3 linked regions of the Lytechinus pictus genome follow. The protein of the gene in region 1 interacts with the protein of each later gene in a pairwise test. Links are inferred from orthologs where the notes say so. Each region holds a gene or a part of one and is shown in the gene's direction. Other genes may lie near its edges.

Evidence for each region. The genes of interacting proteins can lie anywhere in the genome.
Region 2: the proteins of peroxisomal biogenesis factor 19-like (region 1) and peroxisomal membrane protein PEX16-like interact in binary tests that used the Homo sapiens proteins (3 or more experiments, as listed by UniProt). The link is inferred for Lytechinus pictus from reciprocal best matches to the Homo sapiens genes PEX19 and PEX16.
Region 3: the proteins of peroxisomal biogenesis factor 19-like (region 1) and peroxisome assembly protein 12-A-like interact in a two-hybrid assay, tested with the Homo sapiens proteins (4 studies listed by BioGRID and IntAct, with this or other methods). The link is inferred for Lytechinus pictus from reciprocal best matches to the Homo sapiens genes PEX19 and PEX12.

Annotation. Positions count from the first base shown.
Region 1 is NC_087252.1:8,081,434-8,092,291, forward strand, and holds the start of peroxisomal biogenesis factor 19-like, read left to right. Parts: upstream 1-5,629; 5' UTR 5,630-5,653; coding exon 5,654-5,789; intron 5,790-10,858. UniProt on the Homo sapiens protein: Necessary for early peroxisomal biogenesis. Acts both as a cytosolic chaperone and as an import receptor for peroxisomal membrane proteins (PMPs).
Region 2 is NC_087253.1:15,131,038-15,141,898, forward strand, and holds the start of peroxisomal membrane protein PEX16-like, read left to right. Parts: upstream 1-6,102; 5' UTR 6,103-6,235; coding exon 6,236-6,413; intron 6,414-10,861. UniProt on the Homo sapiens protein: Required for peroxisome membrane biogenesis. May play a role in early stages of peroxisome assembly. Can recruit other peroxisomal proteins, such as PEX3 and PMP34, to de novo peroxisomes derived from the endoplasmic reticulum (ER).
Region 3 is NC_087246.1:9,739,461-9,749,992, forward strand, and holds the start of peroxisome assembly protein 12-A-like, read left to right. Parts: upstream 1-5,773; 5' UTR 5,774-6,000; coding exon of another isoform or gene 6,001-6,118; 5' UTR 6,119-6,124; exon of another isoform or gene 6,125-6,528; intron 6,529-7,994; 5' UTR 7,995-8,069; coding exon 8,070-8,192; intron 8,193-9,644; coding exon 9,645-9,753; intron 9,754-10,371; coding exon 10,372-10,493; intron 10,494-10,532. Other genes in the region: DNA repair protein RAD51 homolog 3-like, read right to left, coding at 1,993-2,181, 6,001-6,118. UniProt on the Homo sapiens protein: Component of a retrotranslocation channel required for peroxisome organization by mediating export of the PEX5 receptor from peroxisomes to the cytosol, thereby promoting PEX5 recycling.

The DNA of each region.
Region 1 (10,858 bases):
TGAAATAAATCATGATAAATAAGTAATAATAATACAGCAATATGATATGGATCGGTTCTTCCCAGCAAAAATATGATTTTGCAACAAATTCAAATGAACTTTTATGAATATAAATTGTTACTTTCACACACAATATTTTAAGGTCTGATTTTATATCATCATATTGATATTCGTAATTGCAATAATCAATCATTTGACATTAGTTCTGCAAATGATGAATGTTTAAACAAATGCCTTTTTTTTTCTAAAAATTTTCATACAGGCCTACAACTAAATATTGTTTTATGATTTGATAAATGAAAGCAAATTGCCAAAGGGATACATTAGTGTATATTTTCGATGCACCACGTACAGTCTCTGACGAAATTCGTCCATTGTCGGATAATTTTCGGATCATCGGTTTTCCGGTTTAGATATCCGTCCAGTGTAGTATACTCGTGTTCATACAGATTATATTTTTAGATTTTATATTCTGTGGTGAAAATTGTGTGTTGTTGGCAATGCATGCAAATCTGTGTTTTAGTTCTTTTTGCCATGATGGCACTTTTTGGAGCAAGATAAACCTGATGATCGTATCAATATTTTCTTATTTGGTATCTCAATATCTAGTATGTCTCCATTCGAATGGTTCAAGGTTTCACAAGAATACTTTATTATCATACTACGACTGCTTTCTTGTAGGTCTAATTTTCATGCTATTGTCTTACTAGATTCACCACTGTGATCATCATATCATGTACGATCGTGATGTTTCCCGAGAAAAAATCATATCATTAGGAAAGTTCATTACTTTTCCATAATAGTTTGTTTAATTTACATGAAATCGAGGGTGAATGCGAATTCGACATACAAGACCATGTTCGAAGAAAATGCCAAAATTTTGAAATCCGAAGCATATTTTCTTGTTTCATTATAAAGCGATAATCTTTTAAGCTAAATCATCGTTCATATTTCTTTTATTTATACACAGAGATACTTGTAGATAGCATATGGGGTTTGCAGGGTATATAACTTTATAAAAAAACTGTGGAAAATCACTTTCCTTTTTTGATCATTCATCTACATGTATTTATCAACATTGTTTCCTATTTTCCAACTCTTTGCTCATTTCCTACGCAGATAAAGTTCATCGATCCCAATGCATGGACCGCGGAACCTGGGGGCTCGGAAAGGGGAGCCTCCCGTCCCTCATCCTTTTTTTTTCTCAATAAACGTGTAGAAAAAAACTTTAAAATGAACATCTGGTTTAGTTTTTGTATGATAAGCCAAAATTTCCCAAACCGTTCACTCTTAAAACAGATCAGTCAAATTGACTAGACCAGTAGTCAGCTGGGAGCAACTGATATGGCAATCACTGATAGTCACATATCTGACATATATTCTAGTCAGAAATAACTCTATTTTAGTAAAATAGTCAAATATGACTAGAATAACAGTTGCTCCCAGCTGACCCTATTAACCAGTCATTTTTTACTGATTTGTTTTTAGAGTGTTCCGCGGCCCCTGGATCGTACATTTTTTTAAATTCATACTCTAGATGGCATTTTTTTATATTCTAATAATGGGCTGTTATCGAACATAAAACATCGCATAACGACTGTGCTGTTATAGGTGAGAAATGGAATAGGGGAATAATAAGATACTGTTATAATTGGGTAATGTCTATTCTTTTCACCTAAACAAACAGTTTTGATTTGAATTTCTTTCCGAAGCATTGAACCCTTCATGAAATATGATTTTTCTTATTTGCATATTGTTTAAATTTTCATGGATGTCTGGCCTATGCTTGTCCATTTTTTGTTCCTGCTGTTTTGATTACGCAGCAAAGAAGTCTCCTCTATTATTACGCGAGTTGCCTTTAATCTATAGAATGAAATATGATATATAATGTAAATATTTGATCTAGTATCATCTCAATAATTGATTTCATCTCAAAGAGTCGATATTTTGATTGATTTTATCTGTTTTTATGCTTAATGTGGCCATTGTTCTGAGTGTGCGTAAAATGTTAATAAACTTTAATGCACTTTACTTTACGGAGTATACCCGCTCTTTTATTTGAGTCTATTTACCGGCAAAGCTATTTTAAAGAATCTATGTTGATGAGTATGGGCGTTTCGATCAGAGGTTGTGTGTGCGTACGTGGAGGGGGGGGGGTATTGGATGGGGAATAATACCTGGTGAGTGTTTCATAAAGCTGTTCGTAAGTTAAGAGCGACTTTAAGAGCGACTGGTGAACCTTTCTTACGCGCTAAATAATCACTAATGAACATAATGGTGAACCGTCACTTACCACAAGAAAGGATCACCAGTCGTTCTTAAAGTCGCTCTTAACTTACGAACAGCTTTATGAAACGGCCTCCTGAAGTGTTAGCATCTCTGAAATGAAAGGGATATTATAAACTCAAAAAAGTTTGGAAATCTGAGTTTGGCCATTAATTTCTCCCAACTCCCAATTTTACACAATGCATATTTGATATCATTCAAAATATCATTTAATTCTCTTTAAAATTATACCCTACATGATATGATTATGGTTCACATGGAGGTGCAGTGCCTTGAAATGAGGGGCAGGGTCAAAATTCAAAAGTTGCAAAATGACACAATATTGAAAGTCACTGTTCTTTTTTTCGTGGTGATGAGTGGGTTTCTGATCGGTTTCTTTTATTTTCATGCACCTTAACATTAAAGGACAAGTCCATCCCAATAAAAATTTGGTTTGAATAAAAGGAGAAAAATCCAACAAACGCAACACTGAAAATTTCATCAAAATCGGTTGTAAAATAAGAAAGTTATGACATTTCAAAGTTTTGCTGAATTTCACAAAACAGTTATATGCACATCCTGGTCGGTATGCAAATGAGCAGACAGATGACGTCACCCACTCACTATTTCTTTTGTATTTTATTATATGAAATATGAAAAATTCGAATTTTCTCCTCATTGTCATGTGGAACAAACTTTTGTTCCTCCCTGAACATGTGCAATTACCATTATTTTAACAGTTTGTGGTTGAATCAAGTTGGTCCCAATTGTCAAATCTGTAAAAATTGAAATATTGTATAATTCAAACAATAAAAAACAAAAGAAATAGTGAGTGAGTGACATCATCGACTCTCTCATTTGCATATCAATGAGTTGTGCATATAACTGTTTTGTGAAAAATAAGCAAAATTTAAAAATGTCATAACTTTCTTATTTTACATCCGATTTTGATGAAATTTTCAGTGTTATGTTCGTTTGATTTTTCTCTATCCATTCAAATCAACAAATTTTTGGGGTGGACTTGACCTTTAACATGGAATCAAACACACCTCTGCACAAGCAAACACATAACTAACAAACAAACATGCATGTGTATTTCAAACCATGTTATCTCACAGATCTCCATGTTAATGTTGCTGTTAAGGTGCATGAAAACAAAAGAAACCGCTGAGAAACTCACTCATCACCAAGAAAAAAAAAGAACAGTGACTTTCAATATTGTGTCACTTTGCAACTTTTGAATTGTGACCTTGTCCCACATTTCAAGGCACTGCACCTCCATGTGGACCATAATCATATCATGTAGGGTATCAATTTAAAGAGAATTAAATGATTCATTGGTATCAATTACACATTGATATTCACTAAAAACGAGGAAGGATTGTCGATCAAAGTCAGATTAAAACTTTTTTTGAGGGGTTTATAATTCATGACCGAGAACTTTTCCAAACTCCTTTGCTTTCTGTTTTATGAGATTTTTTTTCCTTCTCTTTTATTACTTTTTTTAACACAAAGTATATTGATTTTATAAAAGTGTTAAATTGATCAAAAACCTCCACATTCTTCGATGCATAGGCCTATCCTCCCCGGTGAAGTCCATACATACTCAAGGGCAGTGTCGGGATAGGGGGAGAGTATATGATAAGGTGCCGCGACCCCCTCCCTCTCAACAATGAAATAACAGGAATATGCCCTATACTCCCGTTTCCCTTCCATTCTTTTGTCGTATCCCCATCCCCTTTTAAAATAATTTTTATTATATTTTTCTCAAACTCATACTGCGTCAATGGCACAGTGAGCCCGATATTTTGTATGGGCACAGTTGGGACAAAAGAAAATTGTATTTGATAAAAAAATGAGTGGTAGCGGAGCAAGCGAGAAAAATTAAAGAATGGAAATATGTGATAGATTATGACTAATATATATGTCACTATTTTCTTTCTTGTATCCTTCTTTTCTTTCCTCATTCTTGTTTGTTTATGTTTGGAGGAGATAAATCCCCAAATTAAGTAGGCCTATGTCGTAAACTTTTGAAAGCCTTATTACCTAAAAAAAATTAATAGTGATTGACTTGAAGAAAAAGTCCATCCCAGCAACAACAAAAAAGGAAAAACTCCAATAAAAAAAAAATCATCAAAATCAGATGCAAAATAAGAAAAATATGACATTTTAAAGTTTCGCTTAATTTCACAAAACGGTTATATGCACATTCTGGTCGGTATGTAAATGAGGGGACTGATGACATTTTCACTCACTATTTCGTTTGTATTATCATTATGAAATACAATATATTTTAACTTTCCCCTCATTATAATGTAATACAAAGTTTCATTCCTCCCTGAATATGTAAATTACCGTTGTTTTAACATTTTCTGCAGTCCATTTATCACTGTCAAATCTGAAAAACTGGAATATTGAATAATTAAAACAGTAAACGAAATAGTGAGTGAGGGAGGGACATCATCGGTTCTCTCATTTGCATATCACATATTTGTGCATATAACTGTTTTGTGAAAAACGAGCAAAACGTTAACTATCAGATTTCATTTTACATTCGATTTTAATGAAATTTTCAGAGTTATATGCTTGTTTGAATTGATTCAAATAAAAAAAAAATTGAAATATTTTTTTAGGGGAACTTGACCTTTGAGAGTTAAGACTGATTTTCTTGAAACGATTGGCCAATAGAAATCTATATATTTTACTATTTTATGTCCATCACAATAGATCGGATCGAATGAAATAATTTGAAACCCCCTTTATAGCAGTGCAAATAACGAGCTGTCACTGCAATGAGCACGACACTGACATCAATTTTGATTGCCTAAAAGGTATAGGCCTAATCAATTAAAGATATATGCGAATTATACAAAATTATGTCGATGCAAAGAAATCATGAGGTGTATATGACATATCATATTCAATATATGGAGAGAGAAAAATAATAAAGGCCAACAGCTGCATGAGCAGATCGATCTAGTGCCAGTTCAATTATAACGAAACAATTTTATTAAACATCACCTAAATGATAAACTATACTCTACATGACTAATGTTATACATGTAAAAAAGTTAGAACAAAAAGCTAAAACTTAGTTCTACTCCCTCGTAATTCCACTGCATCTTCGGATTGACCCCCCCCCCCAAAAAAAAAAAATTATCGATGGAAATGAACTGCTATTGCACATCAGCAGGTGCGGCAATTTTTGTGAGGTTTTTGGTCCATTTAGGGGGAGAAAATCCACCCTAGTGTTTTGTGTGCAAATTTTGAAGCCCCCCCCCCCCCACCCGGGGGATCGCAGTCCACCATGCAGATCACCCCTTTTTGCCTTTTTTAATTTTGGCAATGTTTTGCAAGCCCGCCCTCATCGCTCGTGCTTATCTTAAAAATGGCAGCAGCTGATAGTGAGAAAGTGGAAGGAACGATGACCAGTCCGGCTGAAGAAAAACCCTCAAAGGAATCATTAAGTCAGGTGGTGGACAGTGAAAGTAAAGATGACGTAGATCTCGATCAGTTATTGGACAGTAAGAGCATTCTCGATTCTCACATGACCATAAAACCCAACGTTGTTGTAAGGGGCGTTGAAAATTTCGGTCCCACATGCTTGTTTTTGCGTATGCACCAAGTCTAACTAATTTGTCAAAGTTTTTGTTAATGACAATGTTATTCTGCCGAGTTTGCGTGATGTGGTGGAAACATTTGAAGTCTTCCTCCAATTAAAGGTTGGAAATTGATGGGTGCAAGTACTGTTTGCACTTGTAATAAAAAAATATAGGCCTAGGCGGTAGAAAATATAGGCCTAGGCGGTAGGCCCTATTTATAAAATATTTTTTTGTAGGCCTAGGTCTATTTCACCCAAGGCCAAGCAAGGGTTCATTACATGCCGCCGCGCACAGAAAAATCAAGCCATAGAAGTCGTGTGTTGGGGACCCAAGAAGTGAGATCCCAGCACGCGCGACCCACTAGTTAGAAATCCACTGCCAAACGCGGTTCGTGGTGCGAGCGAGGTTAGTATAGGGTAACGCGCCCGGTATTCGGTCACCTCCCAGAATTCGGTCAGACAGCTGTTTCAACAGCTGTTGAAAAAAAAAAAATAATGCATGAGCCAGAAAACTTTGGCATATCATGCAAGAAACCAGCACTTCCAGCCCACCTCAAAAAAAATGTCGATTAAGACAAGCACACAGCCAAAAACTAACCTTAAAATTGACCGCGTCGGGGGGGTTTTGTTTACTTCCGGGTTTCTTAGCTATTGAGTTAAGCGGACGCAACCTCATGTAAACTCTTGTGACGTCATGACTTTGTGTGTAGGTGTAGTGAATTTGGTACGAGTGTGAAGGGGAAGACTTGTGTGTTCACCCAGTCGCAGCGAATATGCAACTAGCAGTGAAACTGATGAGTAGCGAGGGCTTATACATTGCCCCTATAGTGAGAGGGCGCTCGACCAGAATTCGGTCGCGCAACATTGAGTGTTTTGCCGGTGTGTTTGTGAGGAGGGAAGAGCGTGCAGATACGTTGCTCCTCGCAAGTGAAACACTTATCTTAATCCATTTTTTGTTCTGTTAGGCCTAAATAAGTTTAGAATATATCTAAAATTATTTTTCATGAATAAAAATCTTAAATCAAAGATGTTTATTGCCTATGAAAATGCAATTTGAGCAGGTGAATGACGATGGTGACGAAGTTGGTAAATTTGACCAAGGCTCATTTTGATTGCCTTTGCGTGATTGAGTTGAAGTCTACATCTTTCTCAAATGATAGGGCAAATGATATGCCTACGTTAGGCCTAAATAAGTTAAGAATATACCTACAATTATTTTTATTAATAAAAATCTTAGAACAAAGATGTTTATTGCCTGTGAAAATGCAATATGAGCGGGTGAATGACGATGGTGACGAAGTTGGCGAATTTGACCAGGGCTCATTTTGATATTGCCTTTAACGTGATTGAGATTAAGTCTTAGTGATTTCCTTTTTGGCCTCAATAGTCAAACTCAACCTCAATAGTTAAACCGTGTTATTTTTTTAATGTTATCATAGTTATTTTCAATATTATTATTAATTTGAATAATACATCCGGTTCCAGGGATGATGGACCCCCAAGAAAAAAAAAATTAAAAAGGCTCTTCCACGAGTGTTATTTTAAAAGACGTCATTGCTAGATCAAAGGCTGGAAAATTGCCCCTCAATTTTGCCCGTCCCTCACATATCAGAGGTCTGCGGCTAATTTTTTTGGTCGTTTTAATTTAAAACAAGGGGCCTTTTAATATTGTCATCATTGCTAATAACATCAATCGAAAGTGGATGACAATGTTGACGAATTCGGTTAGAATTATCAGTTACTGTTGTGAATTCAATTGGAATTCAGTTGCCCGAGTTAGGCCTAAAGTGATTTATAGAATTAATAAAATGTTCCTTTCGTCTAATATTAATTTTAAATTCTTTGAGTTCATACTTTCAATGACTTTTCAAACAGATATCAAAATCTTTACTAACAGTATATCAAACAGCAGGTTGACAACTCGGTATTGGATGGTAGACAAGATGTCAAAAAGGAGGGCGTCTTAGGTATATGGGATACCTAAATCAACGCATAGGGATAAAGTAGGTCTACATCTTTTTATTTACTTAACCATACTCTGAACTTAAACTATTATATCAATCGGTAATTTCCATCATGCTGTGTAATTCAAATGTTCTAAAATTTTTCCTTACCAGTTTCTCCACAGATCGATGGGAAGACACCAGTAAAATCGCGGCATGGTTCCAGCCCTTACCTGTCCGTTGCTATGAAAGCAAATTTGGCGGCATTGGAACAGCGGATGGCAAAATTCGGGGTGAAGAGACTAGAGTTTCAGCAGATGATTCAAAATTAATTGTCGGTCTCGTCGTTATTTTGTCTTTCTTTCCCATTTAATTTTTCTCGTTCATTTTTGGGGGATTTAAAGGACCATTGATGTAGTAAAGGAAATGACAATAGCGAGGGCAGTAGTTTTGTGTTTTAATATGGAACCAGTAAATTATGATATTGAAGGAAGTTGCAATAAAACAATGAGCATAATTATGAAAAGGATAGTGTAAGAATAATAGATTAAGGCCATTATGATGAAATTAATTTATGTACATTATCTTCATTCAAATTATTTCATCAAGAAGGCGTACCACACTTGTATTCAAGAAAGATTTAGCATTGAGTGAATTAAAGATAGTCTTCAATGACCTCTTATATCACAATGTTCCCTAAAACTTTGTTTGATTTATCAAAGGAATGATATGAAATCCAAATTTCCTCTTCGCTTTCCCTATATCGGAGGCCGACGTAGATCTTATAAGTATCATTGAGCCATTAATTTTATTGTAAAAAATAAACTAATATAAAATCCAAGAAATTACAAAGAAAATATATATTCTACGCAGTTGTTACGCCCTGGTACTAATTATTTTGCAGTACAATAATTATTTTTACATTCTATTGTTTGTATTCATATCATTCTTAATTTTATATAAATTTAATGTATTGTACGTAGATGGCCAAACAGTAAATTTTGTTACAGAGTATTTGATTTATTGATTTCTTTCCATTTATGAAAGACAAGAGTATGAAACTTATTTGCCATTTGTATTAATTCTACATTCACCTTGCCATTCATTTCATAGACTGAAAAAAATAAACAATATCTTGACTGCAAAGACGTGAAGTTTCAATAACATGTTGCCCATTTGACTCTTTGTCTGTAATGAAATTGACTGAAACGATGATGCTGCGCCATTTTCTGGTTGATTCCGTTTTGGATTGTTGTATTAAAAATTCTGAGTGATTGAAAATTTATATAATCTTAACGAGAGGGGATTGATATGGTCAGCAGAGCAGAGGATTAATATTCATTGGGGACCTCTATTGTTGCATCCACCCCCTAAAAAATACAAAAGATAATCCTCTTCTCCGATGCCCATAGTTTGAATGAGCTAGTGTTGATCTACTATTTGACATAGGTTGTGTGGCTGATTATCTTTTGGTGATTGACTGGAGCGACTAAAAACAAAAACCAAGTTATTTGATAGATTTTCATGAATGACTATCAGGACTATCGGGATGGCAGATTAAAAATATGATTTTAGAAAATTATGAACATTAAGTAAAATCTCCAAAATAATAGATTCTACTCAGTAGCGGATCCAGGGATGAGCCCCCTTAATTTGACACTTTTATCATGTAAAAAGAAACGGGAATTACGGGTACACGGACCTTGCTCCCCGCTTGGATTCCCCACTGTACTGAATTACCAAATAAGCAAAATAATAATAATAATAATAAACAGACCAAAATAATTAAAGACTCCCTCAGACAAAAACAGAACCCCAAACAAGCGAGCATGCATCTGAAAATGAAAACGGCAAACGGGTATGAAACCATGCAAGTTGGAATGTTACCAAAACAAAACACAAAAACAACATAAACATAACATCGAAAAGCAAAACAAGTGATTGAAAGTAGGAAATTGAAATTCATAAACAAAATATAAGAACACAAAAACCCCAAACAAACGAGCATGCATCCGGGGCATGCATAGGAATATGAGAACGGCAAACAGGTAAGAAACCATGCAAGTTGGGATTATATAAATACCAAAACAAAACAGAAAAAAATAACATGAAATGTAACGTCGCAAAGCAAAACAAGTGATTGAAAGTAGGAAATTATAAATCATAAACAGAGTAAAATAATACAAAAGGAGTTTTGCCTGTAAAAGAGGGAAGAAAAAATACAAAAGTTAATTATTAAACATGTATTTTCATAGAATGAATAATGAAACATATATATTCAGTTTACGCCATCACATGGCGAAATTTCAAACAATACCGTTCAGTCTCAATTCTTCCACCTGTTCTGTTATTTCTAGTGGACTAATTAGGTTTTATTGTTGCTATTATTAAAAAGTAAACACTAGAAATGCATAATTAAGATGTGGAGATCACATAAAAGGAATAAAAAACAGTAAGCATAAGAGAAATTCGAATAGTTAACATCAGATAAATCGCGCGTTTTCGCGCGACCGAATTCTGGGCGGCGTGACCGAATACTGGGCGGAAAACACCACCTCGGTCTATCGGCAATATTTTGTTCAACAATATTCAATATTCTAAATGAGTTCAATAATCTGAAAGAGGACAATTTTTTCTTTCTCCTGGTCGGTGGATTTACAAATAAATGAGGTAGGTATTTATTTTACCGGCGATTTCCCCTTAAGTGACCGAATACCGGGCGCGTTACCCTACTAATACTTAGACCAAAAGCTTCAGTCTCTGTATTTTGGTTGTTCCGCTGAACTACGTTGGCTCCACTCACCATACATAAATGGTAAATGGGGATTACAGTAAAATGTCAGAAATTGTTGAATAAATCCCCAGAAACGACGGTTATTCCTGTCTAACTAATACTAACCTCGCAATACGTGTGAGTGGGTCTATTTCTGAATCCTGGGCACTGGGGTCTGGGCTTTTTACGTTTTTTATTAAAATTTTTTTTCTCTGTATCACTTTTCCCGAACGATGCTACTGCAAAAGCCCCCCCCAAAAAAAAAAAAAATTGTTT
Region 2 (10,861 bases), on another chromosome or scaffold:
TATGACAAAATGTCCTTAGAATGTCCCGGTTGCTCGCATTATTTAGTGTGATCCACATCAACTTCACACTTTTCATACACAGTGCTTGAAATAGTGCCTAAACTGACTCCTTTTCAGATCGGAATGTGATTTTTTTCAGCTTGCGCTTCGAACTGGCATTATTGATCATGTGGTTGATCTTCATGAGTAAAAAATGTATACAGAATATCCAGATTCTTGGTCTAAATCTAAAACAGACGCATACATTTTTTTTAATACTGTATATAGGCAGCTTGTTAAATTATCCAGTTTCAGATCAGAATATCAATAATTTTCTGCTCGCGCTTCACCCTCGCATTATTAATGTAGGAAGCTATCCAATTACCCATCCTTTTCATGATTCACAAAACATGAGTGTCCCGTTTTTAGGTCTAAAATCTAAATGTTCTTCCGCCCGCGCTTCGCGCTCGCATCAATAAATTGTTTGCATACTTATCCCTTTCACGATTACGAAAAGTGCTTGGTATGACCAAAAAAAAATAGTTCTGAGTGTCAAAAATTTTCAGCTCGCGTTTCGCGCTCGCATTAGTTAATTCTTTAAATATGTATCATCTTCATGGGTAATGCAATTGCAAACCGTCCTCAACATGTCCCTTTTCGATCAGACCAAAACGTTTATTAAAAATTTCTGCTCGCACTAATTGGCGTTCGCGATATCTTGTTCAGGATCACAAACATTGCCCAGAATGTTAAATTTTCAGGACGAAATGCATGAAAGTTCCAAAAAAATTAGCTCGCGCTTCGCACTCGCACTTTTTATATATATATTGGGCTTATACATGTTATATGAGATTATTTCATATTTTTGTAGCTTTATAAGAATAAAGCTAAGGAGTGACTATGAGGACTTCCCCTTCAAACAAAGAAAAATCAACTTTGAGCGGCCGATCGGCCCCACCCCCTATTGGCGAGAGCTAGATTCGCCCCTGTGACACACACACACACACAGAAAAAATTGTTCCCGCCATTAAAAAGCAAGGACCCCTAGTGCCCCTCCCCCCCCCCCTCCCCGGAAAAAAAAATCCTAGCTACACATGTACACCACTGGACGCATGTCGGAAATAGACAAGTTGCACAAATTGTATGCGTAACCTTTCACATTAAAGTGAATCGGTAGTCACTACTACCAGGGCCGGATCCAGCTTTCGCCATTAGGGGGGGGGGGGGGGTGGCGAAAAAAAATAATGAAAATTTTCTCCGATCGGCCGCTAAAAACGTAATTTTGTTAGTTTCTTTGAAGGGGTCGTCCTAACAATCCCTTGAGATTCTTAACTCTATTCTTACAGACAAACAAAATTGTATTTCTTAAATCCTTATTAAATAATGTGAGCGCGAAGTGGGAGCTTTTTTTTTTGGGGGGGGGGTTCCATTTTCCCCCTGAAAATTGCATTCTGTGCATGCTGCAATGATTGTGATCATGGACAAGCTGAGTATGTAACTAAATAATTACTGCGAGGGCGAAGTGCGAGCTGAAATTTTTAGTGCACTGACCTGACATAAGCACTATATAGTTTGTAGGCCTATCATGAACAGGATAGATTAATCTGAGCGCGAAGCGCGAGCTGTTTTTTGTGTGTGAAAAATTGACTTTCTAAGCACTTTTGTAACCACGACGAGTATGAGTATCTGATCAAATAATTGAAGTGAAGCATGGAATTGTATATTTTTTTTCCGACCTGAAATCCGAACATCATGTGTACTTTTTGTAGCCATGAACGTGATCTTCACTAAATAAATAATGCCAGCGCGAAGCTCGAGCCGATTTTGTTTTTATTCCAATCTCAAAACTAAAGATTTTAAGCGCTTTATTAATATAAAAATGTGCACTGTGTAACTCCATAAACAATTTGAACACGAAGCGTGAGCAGAAATTTTTAATATTGATTTAAAAGAGACCTTTTTAATCGCTGATTTTTCATCTACTCATTTTTTTCTTTTCTTTCCCCTTTTCTTTCTTTCTTTTTTTTCTTCCAAATTTCATGTTCTTCCATTTTCGCGCCGCCATAGGGGGGGGGGGGGGTGGTGCAGCCCCTTCGGCCCCTGGATCTGTCAATGGACTACTGATATTTTAATCATTGGTTGAAATCCCCCATGGCTTGGAACGAATGTGAATAAAGTACATGCAGAAAAAAACCGGGGAACCTTATTACATGGTTATGCTAATGTGCATATTTTATTTTATTTTTCCTTTTTTTTTTTACTGCAAACTGTTCAATTTATGTTCTAATCCCCAACCTCCAATTACACAACTATCGTTCAATTAATCCAAGATACATTGATAATTTTTCCTTTTCCTTTTTTTATATTTTTCCCCTATTTAGTATTCAGCTCTCGTTAATGCAAGAAATTATTTTTAGTTCATTCATTATTTTTATCTTAATATGACGTGCGTGGCTTTTTCCAACGCAATTACGCCTATTCACATAATCTCTAATACCGAATTTGTTAGATCTGCTTATTTATTTCACGTAATCCTTTTTTAACATTTCAGGGGATTCGCAGTTGAAAAACTTTTCATTGTAATTTATCAATAAATGCGCTTAAACATATTATGAAGAGGTAACAGGTAAAAGGGACTTAATCCATTTTTCAACATTTGGTATTTTTGGAAGGTTTAGACGGACATTCACCGCTTGTGCATCAAACTGACTAAAGTGCAACTCCCAAAAGATTCAAAAACTTTATTAAGAATGGACATGAAATTTACTTTTTCCACGCAAAACAGACTAAATCTGAAACATTGTTTATGCAAAACGAATTAAATCTACCTTTGCTGAATCTTCATAAACCATTTTTTTCCACCCAAATCTATATTACAATTCAGGAAGTTATCTTCCTACATTTATGAGCCATCAATATATCACTTCGTAATTCCGAAGGTTCATAATTCCGAAGGTTCTTTATTCCGACGGTTCGTAATTCCGAAACACGTAAATTGCCTATACCTCGATGTTCGTTAATCCGAAAACGTAAAAGGGTTCGTTAATCCGAACATTTGTGGCGTTATTCCGAAGGTTCGTTAATCCGAAAACGAAATAAGGTTCGTTGTTCCGAAGGTTTGTTAGTCCGAAAACGAAATAAGGTTCGTTAATCATTAGTTTTCGGACTAACGAACCTTCGGAATTACGAACCTCATTTCGTTTTCGGATTAACGAACCTTCGGAATTACGAACCTTCGGAAATACGAACCTTCGGAATAATGAACCTTCGGAATATCCGAACCTTCGGAATAACGAAGCTTCGGAATTACGAATGTATGCGCAATAGGTTGATGATAAAAATGATAGTTTAAAAATCCTGCAGATGTCTTTTATTTGATATGAATTTGTGTATATATTTTGGATATAATCCCTTTTTGCATGAAAAGTCCATGCAGAGGGGTAACAAATGTACAGAAGGTTTAACATGAACATTATAGTACTTATCTCTTCCCCTACCCTTAGTTTATAGATTGGAAATGGTTGACTGGTCTCTATACTAGTTACAGGTAGAAGATTTGCCTGACATAGCAACAAATTAAAATTAGTTTTCATTCAAAAAGGACTAAATCCATAAAAATTATAAATATAAAAGAATCATATAAAATAAAAGACATCTGCAGCTTTTTTTTTTTCGTTACCAATATTGATGACTCTTAAACATAGTATAGTAATTTCCTGAAGGGAAACATAGATTTGGGTGAAATTAGAAATGTTGATTTATGAAGAATGAGCAAAAGTGGATTTAGTCGCTTTTTCATGCAAATTCTTCATAACTTTGAATGGATCTAAAAACCGACAGTGTAAATATTCAAAACATCAAGCGTAATGAATTTGTTCAGGTTTGTCTCTCGATGACAAATTGGCCGTCCGCAAAATAAGTGAATTAAAAGCAAGATTTGAAAATCAAATAAGAATATAAAACTAAAAAAAAGCCATATATAAAAAGAAATATAAGAATATATAAATAATGATAGATTTATTGATTTGTATGGAATACACTTTCCTATGCATGGCCCTGGGAAGCGGGGGTGCTGAGGCACCTCCAAGATTTTCCCAGGGGGTGCTGCGTGTACACAGCAAAAACTGTGGTGTTAACCGGTGTACATAGAGGACCACACCAGTTGTTTTACACCGGTGTTAAATTAGTGGTGTTAGTTTTACACCCATAGGTGTTATTACAACACCTTTGGCTGTTACATTTACACTCTTTGGTGTTATGTTCATTCTCTAGGGTGTAATTTTAACACCTCAGGGTGTGGTCCTCTATTAACACCAACTGGTGTCAGTTTTAACACCACAGTTTTTACAGTGTATTACTCTCCATAGGCAGCACCCCTAGAAAATCTGGTATGGTAAATTTTGAAAAATATAGGGAAATTACGCACCTTTTGGAGTGAAAACCTTTCTTTATTTATTTTTGTTTGCTTGTCAAATTTCTTGGCACCAAAACGGCTTTTTTTTTGCTATTTAAATTTACTTCAGCACCCCCAGCAAAAAAAAAAATCGTTCTCAGGGCTCTGCATGCTTCTATTCTGTTTTATCAAGGACTCTCGTTGCCCCGAACCATAGGCTTCTTATAACGAGGACCTGTCGAGTGATCGTGTCAGCATATCTATCCCAAAACAAATCTAATACTCGTACTTCAAGAACAAAAAAATATTAAGTAAATTTTATATACATCCGTTTCAAATCCGATTTTGAATGTTTACATGATTTTGTCGATAATTATGCTCAATGTGTACACTCGTATATATATATTTTTTTATAAACATGTGAACATATATATTTTTAAGAATTCATTTCATTGTTTCTCCAACCGTCCTGCTTCAAATTGCCACATTAATATAATTCCTCAGTAACTCATTGCCCCCGAGATCCATACAGTTCATGACAGAATAGTATCATACTCACTTCCTGTAAAGAAAAAAAAACGAAGAAAAAAAAATAATTGGTTACCCATCCAAGCCAAATTTACAGAATGATGGTATTTTCAGAGTATCCGAACAGATTCATTTCTGATACCACCACAACCACCATTATCATCGTTATCATCATATATATATGATGAAGGAATTGAAAAATTAGACATTGATAAGGATCTAAAGAAAAAGGGAAAGTAAGAAATGTATATTTTGCCAGTTATTTTGTAATTGTATTTCAGAGTTTTGTATGTGATATTGATTTTGTATGAAAATAAATGCCCCTGTTATGGGTGAAAAAAACATCATCATCATCATCATCCACCACCACCACCACCACCATCATCATCATCATCCTCCTCCTTCTCCTCTTCCTCCTCCTCATCATCATCATCATCCACCACCACCACCATCACCACCATCATCATCATCATCATCATCATCATCATCATCCTCCTCCTCCTCTTCCTCCTCCTCCTCCTCCTCATCATCATCCTCCTCCTCCTCCTCCTCTTCCTCCTCCTCCTCCTCCTCATCATCATCCTCCTCCTCCTCCTCCTCTTCCTCCTCCTCCTCCTCATCATCATCATCCTCCTCCTCCTCATCATCATCATCATCCTCCTCCTCCTCCTCCTCCTCCTCATCATCATCATCATAATCATCATCATCCTCCTCCTCCTCCTCTTCTTCCTCCTCTTCCTCCTCCTCATCATCATCATCGCCTTGAGTAAAGTGGAAGGTACGCTACGAAAATTGGATTATTATGACCTTTAGCGGCAACAGCATCGTCACCAGTTCCCTATTCAGTCAATCAAACATTATTTTGTAATGTTTTATTTGAATAAATATATAAATCGTTTAATCACATTCCATGAAAATTCGTTTGGAGACACTATTGCTTCAAATAAAAATCCGTTTGCAATTGTTTTGCGTGAATCATATAGAATCAAATTAAAGGTATTATGTGTCACTATATGGTCCGAATGCATACTTTTGTATCTTGGAAAAAAATTGCTATCATTACGGAGGTAGAATAACAAACAACCAAACAAAACAAATAAACAAAGCCAAATCAAGTTGGTCTCAGAATTATTTGTTGGGTTTGTTTGTAGGAGACTAGGAGTAGCATGAGCAAGAGATGGCGCCCCACCATCCGATTTTACTACCCCGGCCAAATATGCAATAAAACCAACAAATTTTACAACCAACGGGACTACAATCTTCTTCGCGTAATTTGCCTGTTGATTAGGTTGATGTCTCGGAAAAACTCTGCTCGTAAAGAGTTATTGATTAAAAATGTCAGCTTCGCCATTGAATACACAGGAGCAAGCATGCATCAGTATGAAATATCTTGGTAAAATGTGTTTAAGATACCAAGAAACATGTGCTTGGTATCGAAAGTGGGTCGTCGAAAATCCTGACGTTGTTTCTCAAGTGGAAAAGACATTTCGTGTGCTTTCATACTGCATAACGGGTGAGTAATTCTCTCTTTATTAACAAAAAAAATCACGGTATTATTTTTCTTCTTAATTTCAACACAGCTCCTAACACTATATTGCATATATATATAAAAAAATGTGGACTTTAGCTATGGTAGCCAGCCTGAACTGTGTCGATTGTCCAACAACAGGCCATTTTCAATAATTCAAAATCATTGTCTTTCCACTCACTTCTCTGTTCTCACTCTCAGTCATCATGCTTCATCGATCATGGACCGTCTAATTTTTTAAATCTATTTTGTAGAAGTTGTTGTTTCAATTTTTAGAATAAATGAAATGGATCTAACTTAGCTAGGATAAAGGTAGACAGGAATAACTGTCGTTTCTGGGGATTTATTCAACAATTTCTGACATTTTACTATAGGGCCTAATCCCCATTCACCTTGACTTGAGTGAGCCAACGCAGTTCAGCGGAACAACCAAAATACAGAGACTGAAGCTTTTGGTCTAGGATAAAGGTACCTCGAGCGATGTTCGTGCAGGCTCCACTCCACTTCACTACCGCTACACTACGCTCCACTTACCGAAGGTAGGTGGAGCGTAGTGTAGCGGAAGTGGAGTGGAGCCTGCACGAACATCGTTCGAGGTAGGATATAGATTAAAGGCACCTATTCTTTATTATAAGCAAATGATTCACTAGACAGGAATAACCATCGTTTCTGGGGATTTATTCAGCAATTTCTGACATTTTACTATCATCCCCTTTCACATGACTATTGGTGAGTGAGCCAACGCAGTTCAGCGGAACAACCAAAATACAGAGACTGAAGCTTTTGGTCTAATGATTCACTCCTTTTCCTTGTTTTTATCAATCTCAGAATCAATAATTTAAAACCAGTGCAGTGTAGGCTGTATTAAGATAAACTAAAACTTAAGTTAAAGTAAACATGTCTGCGCACTTAAGTTATAATTAAAGTTAAGATTTAATAAGAATTCCACAAAACAATTCAGTTTCAGAAGTTCCTTATATTCTATGAGTAAGTGTGCCAAAAATCTCATAAAAATATGGAAAAACCTCGGCCAGTCATTTTCAGATTGAACAAAACAATGCCATGGTGCCCCATGTCTGCGCACCCATAAATTTTGATGAGAAAGGCTGCATTTTGAGGCTGTCACATGAAATGCCAATATTCATTATTTTTCCACCATTTTGAGTCAGATTTTTTAATCAATATCTTTCTATTTATTGCATGTGTAAAGTTTGTGGTTGCGTATCTTCTTTCTTTAGAATCATGCAGTTATGTGTATGCATGTGTGCGCAGACAAGGGCTTATTTTTTTTCTTTCATTCTCTCCCCCTCTCTTAATTTCTTTTTTTCTTCCTCTGGTTATTTTCAGTGATTTCCCCTTTTTGTATTGTGTGTCCTAGTCCCCTCCAAAATATATGAAAAATATATGAGATTAGGAAATTAATTAAAGAGCATATTGACCATATATATTTTGTCATGATGTTCAAGATAAAAATTATTAAAAAAAAGAAATACAACTAAAAGGTACATCTAGTCCGGGTTATAATTGAGCAAGGTGCCACAAGAAAAAGGAGAAATTTTCATATAGTGCTTCTAGACCAGTTTTTTACGCTGAATATGAATATATGAGGTAACCAGGCTGTATCCTGAAAATTAACCAGTGAGGGTGCTTTTTTCAAAATGGCCGCCGAATTTTCAGAACATTTGAATTTTCGTACATAGATTTTGACATAAATATTCCATTGCCACAAAATTAGTGTCATATGAAAGACAAATAAATTTTCTACAATTTGGTACTATTTATAGGGGATAAGTAGGTCATTTGGCTGAGATTTTAAGTAGAAAACTGCATTTTTTGTCATTTTTTCCCAAAAATTGAAAATTTAGCAAATACATGATTTTACATAATTCTGAGAAAAATGAATGAATTACCTTGAAATGTTCCAGAAAACTTTATTGACATACTATTATCATGTGGATGAAATTCCAACTCTGTATCATTCTTCTTAGCAAATTTATAAGGTATCAAACTTGAATACTTCAATTTCAGAAATGTCGCTTTTTGTATGCATTTCCATAGACTAATACGTATAACATGTACTGTACATGTATAATATGTATAATGTATAGTTTAATAAAATTTAAATGCAATTATCTCCGCTTTTTAACCACTTGGAGAGTTAAGAGTAGGCTTTTCTCTATCAGCTACATAAAACAAAATGTTGGCACATCAAGGCCTGACCCTCTCATGGGGTGGGGGTGTCGAAGTCACCCCCCCCCCTTGCCCTTGGCTATATCATGTTGTATATTGCCTATTTGTTGGAAAAATATCTGTTTTTTGGAGTACCCATTGAAGCAAAAACAGGCATTTCTGCTATACAGTACAGTCACTTTGATTGCTTTGAAACCACTTGGAGAGGAAAGAGTATATAGGCTTTGTTCTACCAGCTACATACAAAGTGGCACATCGAAGCCTACCCCTCTCGGGGGGGGGGGGGGTTGCTTAATATTGCCAATTTATTTGAAAATTCACAATTTTGGACCCAACATTGAGGCCAAAAATCGTTTGTGCTTTGTTGTACACCCCATTTTATTGATTTGAAACCACTTAGAGAGGAAAGAGTAGAGTTTGTTCTACCAGCTACATATAAATAAGCACTGGCACATTGAACCCTAGCCCTCTCATGGGCTGTCTAAGTCACCCCCCTCCCCCTCTATATCATGTATATTGCCGATTTATTGGATATTTCACCATTTTGGATCACCCATTCAGGCAAAAGCGCGTTCCTACTATATAGTACAGCCAATTTTATTTTCTTGCAATGACTTGGAGAGGAAAAATTAGGCTTTGCTCTATCAGCTACATATCAAGAACTGTTGGCAAATCAAAGCCTATCCCCTTCAGAATGTTCAGGGGGCTGTAGAATTTACCCCACCAATTTTCGGTAATTGACTATCTATTGGACAGTCACAATTTGCATCACCCATTGAGGCAAAGGGCGTTTCTACTATATAGTACAGCAAATTTCTTTTCTAGCAATGACTTGGAGAGGAAAGAGTAGGCTTTGCTCTATCAGCTACATATAAAGAAGTGTTGGCAAATCAAAGCGTATCTCCTTCAAGCGGCTGTAGAAGTTACCCCACTAATTTTCGGTTTTGGGCTATTTGTTGAAAAGTCACCATTTTGGAGCCCCCATTGAAGCAAAAAGGCGTCTCTGATATATAGTTCTGCCACTTTTATTGCCTTGAAACCACTTAGAGAGGAAAGAATAGGCTTTGCTCTATCAGCCACATAATTTTGTGCTGGCAAATAAAAGCCTACCCCCTTCTGCGGGCTGTCGAAATCACCCCCTCACCCCTTTGCGTTATTACCTATTTATTGGAAATTCACCTTTTTTGAGCCCCCATTGAGGTAAAAAGACATCTCTGATATAAAGTTCTGCCACTTTTATTGCCTTGAAACCAATTAAGGAGGAAAGAATATGCTTTGCTCTACAAAGAAGTGCTGGCACATTGAAGCTTACCTATCTTGGCGGCTGTCAAATCACCCCACCCCTCTTGCATTATTGCCTAATTATTTGAAAATTCACAATTTTTGAGCCCCCATTGAGGCGATATGCACTTCTGCTGTATAAAACACCCAATTTCATTTTCTTGAAACCACTTGGAGAGGAAAGAGTAGGTTCCCATCTTTCAGCTATATATAACGAATTGCTGCCATATCGAAGCCTGACCCACTTCAGGGGACTATATAGATGTTACCCCACCTTTTTTACGATTTTTTCCAATTCATTGGAAAACTCGCCATTTTGGAGCCCCATTGAGGCAAAAAAGTGTTTCTGGTATATAGTAGAGCCACTTCTTTATATGTAGCTGTTAGAGGAAAGCCTACTCTTTCCTCTCCAAGTAGTTTCAAGGCGGTAATAGTGGTAGAACTATATATCAGAACCGCCTTTTTGCCTCAATGGGGGCTCCAAAATCGTGAATTTTCCAATAAATAAGCAATAATGAAAAAGGGTGGGGTGATTTCAACAGCCCTCTGATGGGGATAGGCTTTTATTTGCGAGCATGTCTTCATATGTAGCTGTTAAAGCAAAGCCTATTTTTTCTCTCCAAGAGTTTTCAAGGGTGAAACAAGGCAGAAACATAATCAGAAATGACTTTCTGCCCCAATGGGGGCTCCAAAGTGGTGATTTTTTCAATAAATAGGCAATAATGCAAAAGGGATGGGTGATTTCGACAGCCTCCTGCTGTTTGCCTGCACTTTTTTATATGTGGCTGATAAAGCAAAACTTATTCTTTCCTCCCTAAGTGGTTTCAAGGATTTAAAAGTGGCAGAACTATATATCATAAACGCCTTTTTTCCTCAATGGAGGCTCCAAAATGGTGAATTTCAAGGGGGGGGGGGGTAATTTCGACAGTCCCCTAAAGGGAGTAGGCTTTTATTTGCCAGCA
Region 3 (10,532 bases), on another chromosome or scaffold:
ATTAATGAAGTATTTGATGGATGGATAATATCAATGGATAGGATAATAGATGCAACAGTATGTATTGGACTGATACATGTAGATTGGTAATTAGATGGAATTGTTAATAAAAGGGATGGAAGACAGATAGATAGATCATAGATAAATGGATGGACGGATAGACAGACAGACAGATAGATGGATAGATAGATAGGTCGATAGATAGATAGGGCCATGTGTCATGAGGTCGCCCACCAAAAAGGGTTGTACTGTTATATATTTTGGTTAATCTGTAGAGTTATTTTTACATATTTTTAAAACCATATGAGCTATGCCAACAAGTTTGGTATTATATTGAAGCTGAATTCATTGGCTAAAAATGTACACAGTTTCCTTACTCTAAGATAAATAGAACTTGGCTATCTTTAAAGACAGAGCACCAGTGTTGATGCCGGAAGTGGTGCTGCCGGAGCAGTGCCACCTGTACAAAGTCAATAGAGATTCTCAATATTTTGTGCTATTTTGGGTAAAACGTTAATATTTTTTGTGTAAATTTGACTTCTAATGACAAATTTGGTATCAAGTGAAAGCTAGAACATTCCTCTTTACTGTTAATTGTTTGAAAAATAAGTTTGGCAATGTCATTGTCATTTAAAACAAAAAACAAGGTAAAATAAATTGAAAAAGAAATAGAAAAATTGTCAAAATTGTTCACTTTTCTCAAAAATTCTTCCATATTGGCACATATTTTCTTTACAATTATTCTTAATTTCAATGTAGCTTTTGTGTAAAAACAGAAATGTGATTTCTACTATTCTGTTGATGAAAGTGATACCTAGTTTTGTTACAGATCTTAAAGGTCAAATGACACAGGTCAGAGACATTCACACTAACAATATGTGAAGAATCTTAGAATAATCAATTGGTTTAATGCTATCACAATTTGCTTTAAATTGTTTTAATACCTTAAAATCTGATGAACACAGCAGATATACCTACCATGTAATGGTAATGCAGGCGAAAATAGCACACACAATATATCAATTTTTTGAAAAATATTTGCATAACTTTTGGTTGATTTTGAAGTAATTTCTTTACCATAAACCCAATAAAACTACCGGTATACATTGATATACACGTCTAACTCTGTACTTTTACAGATATATGATTATTTTGGTCATAGGGGGACTATACAAATTATTATGATCACTAATATGAGATTTAAAAAATTATCAATATTTTTCTATTCAACACAATATAACACTTGCCTTACACCTAAAAATATTTGGGTTCAATAAGCAATTTCCTTTCAGAAAATGTACACTTCTACTATAATAGTTAGTGAGATAGAGACTTTTGAAATTAAGGAGGCGACCCAAAAACAAAAATCACCATGTAATGCCAAAGTAGGTGACTTCATGACACATGACCACAGATAGATGGATGGACGGACGGAATAGATCGATAGTTGAAGTGATAGATAAGGATAATTTGATAGGCTTGATAGGTGGTTGGATAGATGAATGGATGTAAATGTGGAAAGATTGATGGATCAATGGGCATATATGGATAGATTGATGGCTGGGGAGAGAAATAGAAAGATGAATGGATTGGGAGATGGATGGAGAAACAGAAATATGGATGAACATGGGGATGGATGGTAATATGGATAGATAGATGGATGGTAATATGGATATATAATGGAGAGATAAAATGATGAACGGGTAAGTGGAAATACATAATAGGAGGATTGATATATCAGGTGATGGATAGAGAGTGAAAGGTGGACTGATGAACAGATAGAAGGATACAAACTTGTATTAATTGAATGATAAAGAGACTGAGACAAATGGCTTGATTAGAAAATAAATAAATGAATGAAATAAATCTAAATAATAAAGGCATGATTAAAAACATAAATATTATTTGTGAATTGGAAATCATGCTGTTTCACTGGAAATGTTAAACCCAGTACTCTGATAAAAACATGATGCACCATGTTATTTTAAGCACCTGATATTGAGCCAGTAACGGGAAGTTTGTTGGATTTTAGTCCTGAACATTCAGAGCCTGATGATATCCCTTTTAATAGCTCCTCGTCTTCAAGATCTTTCTCTGATTTCTCGTGCAGCACAGGATTAATTGCTCCCGACTTAAATGTCTTGATCAGCTCCAGAGCATCCTCTTTAGAAATATTTATCTCTGAAAAGGTGTTAGGTTAAAGAAAAAAACTATGACAATTACATCTACACAATATAATACTAGAAGAAAAAAAAGAGAATTATTAAGTTGATACTTGACTTTGAGAATGATATAAAACCACAAAAATATGCCATTAAGAATCAATTTTATTGACAAAGACAAGATTTGTAATTGTCACTGACCACATTCTACATTAACTTAATTTATACTAAATCCAAAAATGTTGGAATTATCCTGCTTTAAGTCACCAGTTCATTTACTGATGTCAAATTTTGTCTTCTCTCTTCTGAGTTGTGTGCACTAATTACTTTTTGTAGCTTACAAAATCTATCTGAAAGAGTACAAAGCTGTCACCTGCAATGATAAATACACAGCAGCGAGTACAATGGTAAAAAAAAAAAAAACAATGATGTGCGTTCGGTACTTGTCTCTCGTACTGTATACTGACAGGGATATATCAAAAACCTAATTGAAATTTAAATATGCATCCTATCATCAGAGTCAGGGTTGGGCTCAATTACAATTACAATTAGGTAATTGAAGAAATGTTAAATTACAATTACTTTTCAATTAAATTAATTTTTTTTTCAATTACAATTACTTTTGTCAATTACAATTTCAATTACTTTCATGAAATCAATTTATATTTTGTATGTAGTGTCATCCATTTCAACTTAATTCTATGTTTGAGAGAAACTGACAAAATGAATGATTATTAGCTTAGAGAGCATTGATCCTGCCTATCACTCCCTTCAATGCTAAAGTCAACTGACATTCTCAATAATATGCAGATCTGCATGCTTTAGTTTCATTTGTAGAAATCATGATGTACAACATGAATGTAAACTTGAATTGAGAGTTGTGACCTCGTTCATCAAGGGCTGATCCAGCTTTCAACTATAGGGGGCAGGAAAAATATTTTCATCCACTAAAAACTCACTTTTTGAGGAGGTATTCCCAACTTAATTCTAAAGATTTTAGTAAACATCTTACGTTTTCTTACTAACAAAATCAGGCCACTACATGAGTTTATACGAAATGTAATTTTGCTAGTATAAAAAATTACATAGTTTGATTCCGTGTTAGAACCTATTTTGTTTTGCAAATTTGTCCCAAATATTTCAGATGTTCAATTTGTGCACTTGTTATAGCAATGTATCCTCTTTCCTCTGGCTCCACATCATGGGAACAGTGGCGTAGCTACGGGGGGGCATGGGGGGGCACGTGCCCCCCCTGAGATTTGGTGTGCCCCCCCAGGTGCCCCCCCTGAAAAAAATTGGCAGAGCAAAAAAAAAGGGAGAAAGGAGAAAAGAAAAAAAAGAAGAAAGACAGAAGAGGAAAATAAGAGGAGGAAGACGAGTGAATGAAATAATGTGAGGGGAAGACTTGCAAAAAAAAAATCTTTCATGTTACCATATAAAATGTTTGCTTGCGCTTCGCGCCAGAATTGCCTGTTCGATGAGATTCATATCTTGCTCAATAGGCTGATATGGAGCAAGTTTTGAAGTCTATGTACAAAACATATTTTAGCTCGGACATCGAGCTTTCATATTTTTGTTTTCATTTACAAATTTAAGTGCTCTGTAAAATGTCCGTTTTTATGGTCTACATATCAGCATTTTAAGCTCACGCTGCGTGGTCACATTGTTTGATTTGCCAAGTTCATATTGTCTAGGTGTATTCCATAATGTTCCATAAAACAAATGTATTCAGAATGCTCAGATTCTAGGTCTAAATCTAAAACATGCGCGATAGCCTGCATGTTCTTTATTTAGAATGTACTTAAATTATCCAGTTTCACATCAGAATATCAATAATTGTCTGCTCACGCTTCATGATCGCATTATTAATGATACCCAATTAACTATATCCTATTTATGATTTACAAAATATGACTAGAGTGTCCCGCTTTTAGGTCTGAGATCTCAATTTTCTACCTCTCGCGCTTCGCGCTCGCATCAATTGTTTAGTTACATACCTATCCCATTTATTAATACAAAAAGTGCTTAGAATGACCATTTTTAGGTCGGAATTTTCACGCTCGCATTATTGAAATATATACCGTCTTCGTGGGTAACTGTAAGCAGTCCTTAACAGGTCCCTTTTCGATAATGCTAGAACAGTTAATAAAAATTTCTGCTCGCGCTTGGCGTTCGCAGTAACCATCTAGTTACATACGAATCTTGTTCAGGATCACACATAACATTGCCCAGAATATTAAATTTTCAGGACAAAATACATGAAAGTAAAAAAAAATCGCTCGCGCTTCGCGCTCGCACTTTTTATAAGGCTTATGAGATTATTTCATGTTAATGTTGTTTTATAAGAATAAAACTAAGAAGTGACTGATCGGGAAAATATAGGTGAAGATAATTTCGGGCACCGTCCCCTATTGGCGAAAGTCGGATCCGCCTTTGTGACACATACACACACACCTAAAAAATGGTGCCCCTCCTGAAAAAGCAAGGACCCCCCAGTGCCCCCCCAGGAAAAAAATCCTAGCTACGCCACTGCATGGGAAAGGATATATTTGCATGCAAGAGATTAAAGGTCAAGTCCACCCCAGCAAAATATTGATTTGAATAAGTAGAGAAAAAAACTAGCATAACACTAAAAATTTCACCACAATCGGATGTAAAATAAGAAAGTTATGGCAACTTAAAGTTTCGCATATTTTTCACAAAACAGTGTCATGCAAATGAGTCAGTTGATGATGTCCATCACTCACTATTTCTTTTATTTCATTTTTTACAGATTTGACCATATAAAGACCGACTTGACTGAACCATATACATGTAGCATTAAACTGCAAAGCTAATTCCACATGTTCAGGGAGGAATTAATCACTGTTTCATTTGACAATAGAAAATTAGAATATTTCATATCTCATATAATAAAATACAAAAGAAATAGTGAGTGGATGACATCATCAGTCTCCTCATTTGCATACCGACCAGGATGTGCATATATAACTGTTTTGTGAAATTAAGAGAACCTTTAAAATGTCAGAACTTTCTTATTTTACATCCGATTTTGATGAAATTTTCAGTGTTATGCTTGTTGGATTTTTCTTTCTTTATTCAAATCCAGTAATTGAAGTCAATTACAATTTTTCAATTACAATTACTTTCCCTTTAAAAATTTCAATTACAAATTGCAATTACTCAAAAAATATAATCAATTACATAATTGATCAATAGAGCCTAACCCTGAAAATTCAGAGCTCTGGTCTGGTGTACTACTACTAGAACTTAGAAGATATCTGCTTTTTATGGCCTAATTTGTAAGAAAACTAAGATTCGTCATGAGCACTAAGTTAGGAGCGGAGCAACTGTGCAAGAAATTTTGCACTTTTACTTTTTTAGAATGCAAAATTAGGTAAATTTTAGCACTTAGAAGGCATTATAATATTGGCATTAGGATGAAGAAAAATAAAACTAAAAAAGAAAAAAAAATTCTTGAAAAGTGGGAGAATGTATTATTAATGTTACTCTACGTGTTCGGGCTGCCGCAGTAACTCCACCCCCCCCCCCCTGAAACTGAAGGATATACAGTATCCCCTCCCAAAATCTTTACGGCCCACCCCCCCCCCCCCCACGAAGCCGGGCCACGATTTATGCCAGCAGTGATTCACACAAATTTATAAACTACTAGTAAGTTACAAATATTCGGAGTCAGACTCAGATGGCCGATATGGATGCTGGCATATGATATGGCTTCTAAGTTCTAGGGAGAAACCAACTAACATAATTGTAAATATATGGGACTACAAACGAAACTTTTGCTGGATAAAAACAGGATATGTCGCTGCTTGCTTACCCTTGCTGAGTTCTGATGGTTTCAGCTCCAAGATATCAGAAGTAGAACTAAATCCCGCATTGTTCAGCTTCAGTCTGAAGGATGGAGGTATAGGAAAGCTATTTATGTCACGCTGCATCGTGAGGTAAATTGTAAAAACAGGATATCAAATTGAATTCCCCGCGCATGTTTCCAATGTCGGCAGTCGCGTGATGATCGCGCCGGGCTGATGGCCGGGCGGCGCGGCCGGTCGGTCGATCGGGCTGCTGTCCGTCCGTACGTGGCTAAGTCTAAGCCTCTGTGGGGTCTTCTTATAACATTAACAGTAACATCCAAACGCATCAATATTCAGAAGATAAAGAAGACTAAGGCGCGCCGGGGCCCTGCCCCTGGGCCTGGTATACTGCCTGGTTGCATGCTGCTGAAGCTTGAACTTGGCCTAGAATGAATGGAGCCGAGCATGTTAATGTTTGGACCTCATTGGACTTGGTCTGACTTGGTACTAACGTTAGGAGTGGAGCCGAGTCTGAGGTAGACCCATATAAAAAGGTCTATTTCTTTCTGGGATGTGCTCTGCTGAGCTGAGACTTCATCAGGCTCCACTCCGTCAAAAAAAAATCAGAAAATTTTGTTAAAAATAAAAAACTCCTCCGCAACAGGGCAGGGGACATATTCAGTACGGTATCAATCATCAGTCTAAAATTAAAAAACGTTAAACTTAAAGTTAATCGCACTAACGTTGTAGCAACGCATTAGGTGTGAGTGAAGCTGAGGCGATGACGGTCGACATTAAGTAATTCTGGATTAGGCCTTTAAATAAGATAAAAGTAAAAACTAAAAAAATACTCAAAAAAAAAAGAAAGAATTTACACGAATTAAATTATTGAGGTTATCTTTGGTAATGATTTCCGCTTGATCTCGAATTTCGGCTTCTCTCATAGGCCTACATACAATATGTCAGTTTTGCTTTGTGAAATAAATATGATAAGCAGTTCGATAAGGGGAACTTTGGATAATTCAAATTTATGGGCAACTAAATTAAAAATAAGGTCTATGAATGAAATAGTGCAGATACTAACTATTGTTTAATCAAGTACAATTTTATTGATCTAATTCCTAGATTTGATCCCTAACAGAGTCTAGTATGCTTTGAATTTGGATCAGTTTGAAGGTAGCAAGCACTTTTGTGTAGATCTACAAATAACTTATGTCCCTAAAACCAAGGATAAACAATAAAACTTACATTCAGTTGTTGGATGGGTGGGCCGTAACGTAAGTAATTGGAGTGTTTAAACATATATTTTTAAATTTCTTCTCCTTCACAGCCCAGACGCGGTAGACGGCTAGCTACGTACTCGTACACAGTGTGAGGGACATTAGTCCCCATTGCCCCCCCCCTCAAGCCTTAAGGGGATTTCTAATTTTTCTACATCTAACATTAAAGTAGATCGAACTTAACTTCCATTGATAGTGGATATCTTGCATGTCCATGTCTCGCTCAGCTGAGAAATACCAGCAAAAGGGATGCAACTCTGTCTTTGCTGTATAGTCATGGTAGCTTGTGTAGTAGATCTAGTAACAGGTAGTCCCGAGTTAACGTTAGATATGTATTTGTGATATGGACGAGTTCAGAACTAAGCAATTTGTGCATGTATATACATTTTGCTGCACGTTTGGATGAATTTCAATACCATGTACTTGAAAAACTTAGATTATGACGAGATTGCACACTGGAATTCAGTGGTAAAAGGTTGTTTAATAACACTAAATAATGATAGCTGACAGGTATTTTTATAACTTTTTCCAAACAAAATGATATTATATTTCTTATTAGTAGTCTATTTTTTCTCCAGATTATTATTGACCTTTTTTCTAAGTTCGATCTACTGTACTTGACTATTTACAACTTGAAGAATTTCACTCATCGTTCCATGGCTTGTTTTGCTCAATAGTGAGCAAATGTCTAATTTCAGCAGTCAATCTGTTTTAGAAATCGATCTTTTTTATTGTTAAAGGAAACTTTGGCTACCTGGAGAAGAAACTGAGATACTGCTATTCTGCAATCTGATGTGTGCAAATTCTAAATCACAATGGCAGAGTTCGGAGCTCATCTTACTTCAGCAACCACTGACAATCGACCATCATTCTTTGAGGTTCTTGCCCAAGAGAGCCTAATGGTTACTTTGAGACCTGCTCTGTCCTACTTCTTAAAGGTAAGTCAAAGGGTACTCTTCATGAAAACATCATTTTAAAGAATTCAACAGCATCCTAGAATATTGTTCTACTACTGCACAATATTGTTGGCTCTCAAAGAACCTAGACTTTGGAGACATTGCATAGAACTTCTAGAAGAATTTTTTTCTTTTTTTAAATCAATCATTAGTCTTATTTACAAATTTGCAATTGAGGGATTGAATTGGCGTGGCGTCCGTCGTCTGTTGTCCGTCCACAATTTCCAAATTCTGCTTCTTCATTTAAAGTCCGATCTCAATTCTGATTGCTTTATTATGATAGCACTAGGTGGGGATTCAAAACTTTTACACAGAATTTTGAAACTCATTAAATATGCTAATTCATGCACATTTTTCAAAATTCACAAAAAATGCTGTTCCTTCTTTATTTATTGACCGATTTTGAGTTTTTTGCTTCCTTCTGGTAGATCTTCATGAGGTTCACAAAACTTCTACACAAAATTTGGCTAGAAAAAATTTTATGCTAATTTATGCAAAATTAATTTATGCATATTTTTAAAAATTCACATAAAATGCTTCTTCGTCTTTATTTGATGACCAACTTCGATTTTTTTTTTCATCCATCTGGTAGAGCTACATGAGGGTTACCAAACTTCCACACAGAATTTTGAAATTTTGACTAGAAAATTATTTATGCTAATTTATGCAACATTTATTCATAAATCACAAAAAATGCCCTTTCTCCTTCATTTGTTGATCAATTTTAATTTTGTTTCCTTTATATGATAGCTCTAGGTGGGGATACAAAATTTCTACACAGAATTTTTAAATTAATTAAATATGCTAATTTATGCATATTTTTCAAAACTCACAAAAAATGCTGCTTATTTAGTTGTTGACTGATTTTTTTGTTCCATCTGAGAGCTACATGAGGTTCACCAAGGTTCTACACAGATTCTAGAAATTTTGACTAGATAATTATTTATGCTAATTCATACAAATTTTATTCATAAATCACCAAAAAGTGCTTCTCTGTCATTTCTTCATCAATTTCAATTCTGTTTCCTCAATTTATGTCTCCAATATAATTCACTACAGTATCAACTGGGATGAAATAAAAAATTGTGTTAAATTTTGTTGCAAGATGCCGGATGAGCTCCACATCATTGATGTGCTAGTTTGCTCTTGCAACAGGAAATATAGACTAATTTTCTAGAGTTTATGAAATGATATTGAATGAAAATTTTCAATTTCAATAAAAAACTAATATTGCAATCTAAACTTTGTTTGATTTGCGAGGTATTAATGACTTTTCTCTAAAGTGTTTTAGGATTTTCCCCAAAGAATAAAAGGAGTGGTTTATTCAAAGTCAAGTTTTATATTAGACAACAAATTGAATATTGTATTGTAACTGAATAGATTATTGTTGTATTTGCTTTATGTTAGTGTATAGAGATTATTTTACTTTACCAGGTACTTGCTGAGAATCACCCTGCTCAGTTTGGAAGACTACATCGATGGTCTGATGAAGTATACTCCACCCTTGATCTTATACTACAGCATCACTTTCTCACCAACACTAGTAAGCAAATTTAAGTCAGAGACTTCATGAAGGTTAAATTATAATCTGCAACCATCGTCATTGTGAAATGCACTGGAATTTAACTGTAATAGCTGTAATAACTGTAATAACTAGTTAATTAGTGTTCCCTGGGCATTGTTGTCTAGAAAAGTGAGATGACTTTGTTATGTAAAGGCCCTGTCACATCGTCCTGTGCAAGCCTTTCGAGTGAGTTGCAGGTGATTGCCCGCAAACTCTCCTGCAACAAAGTTGTGAGCAAGTTCAAAATTTTTCTGCGTGCGCTTCTGCTGGCAACTGCGTGAGAGATGCGTGCAAGATACTGTCAATGCGGGCAACCTGCGGGTAGCAAAAATACTCACCCGCAAGGATTGCACAGAGAACAATGTGACAAGTTGGTTAAAGTAATTTGGTTAATTTTGAGCTTTAGCTTGTCTCATTCGTTTCGCGTGGGGTTTAGGCAGATCCAGAATTTCATGAAATTAGGGTTTGTGTGGGGGGGGGGGAGAAATGTTTTTAAGAAAGATATTCCTGCTTCCACCCAACAGGAACACTGCTCATGATATATATTTCTTCTCATTATCCTCCCTTTATGATAAAGCTCTTCTTCTTCTCATGCAGGTGCATCCTTTGCAGAAAATTTTTACAGCCTGAAGCGAGTTCCCCTCAGTTCAACCTCTGTTACCTCTACAATATCACAAGGTCTCCCAAAGAAAGAACATTTGCTGTCATTAGCACTGCTTGTGAGTAATGTATAGTCCCATCATGTTTTCATGAAACCT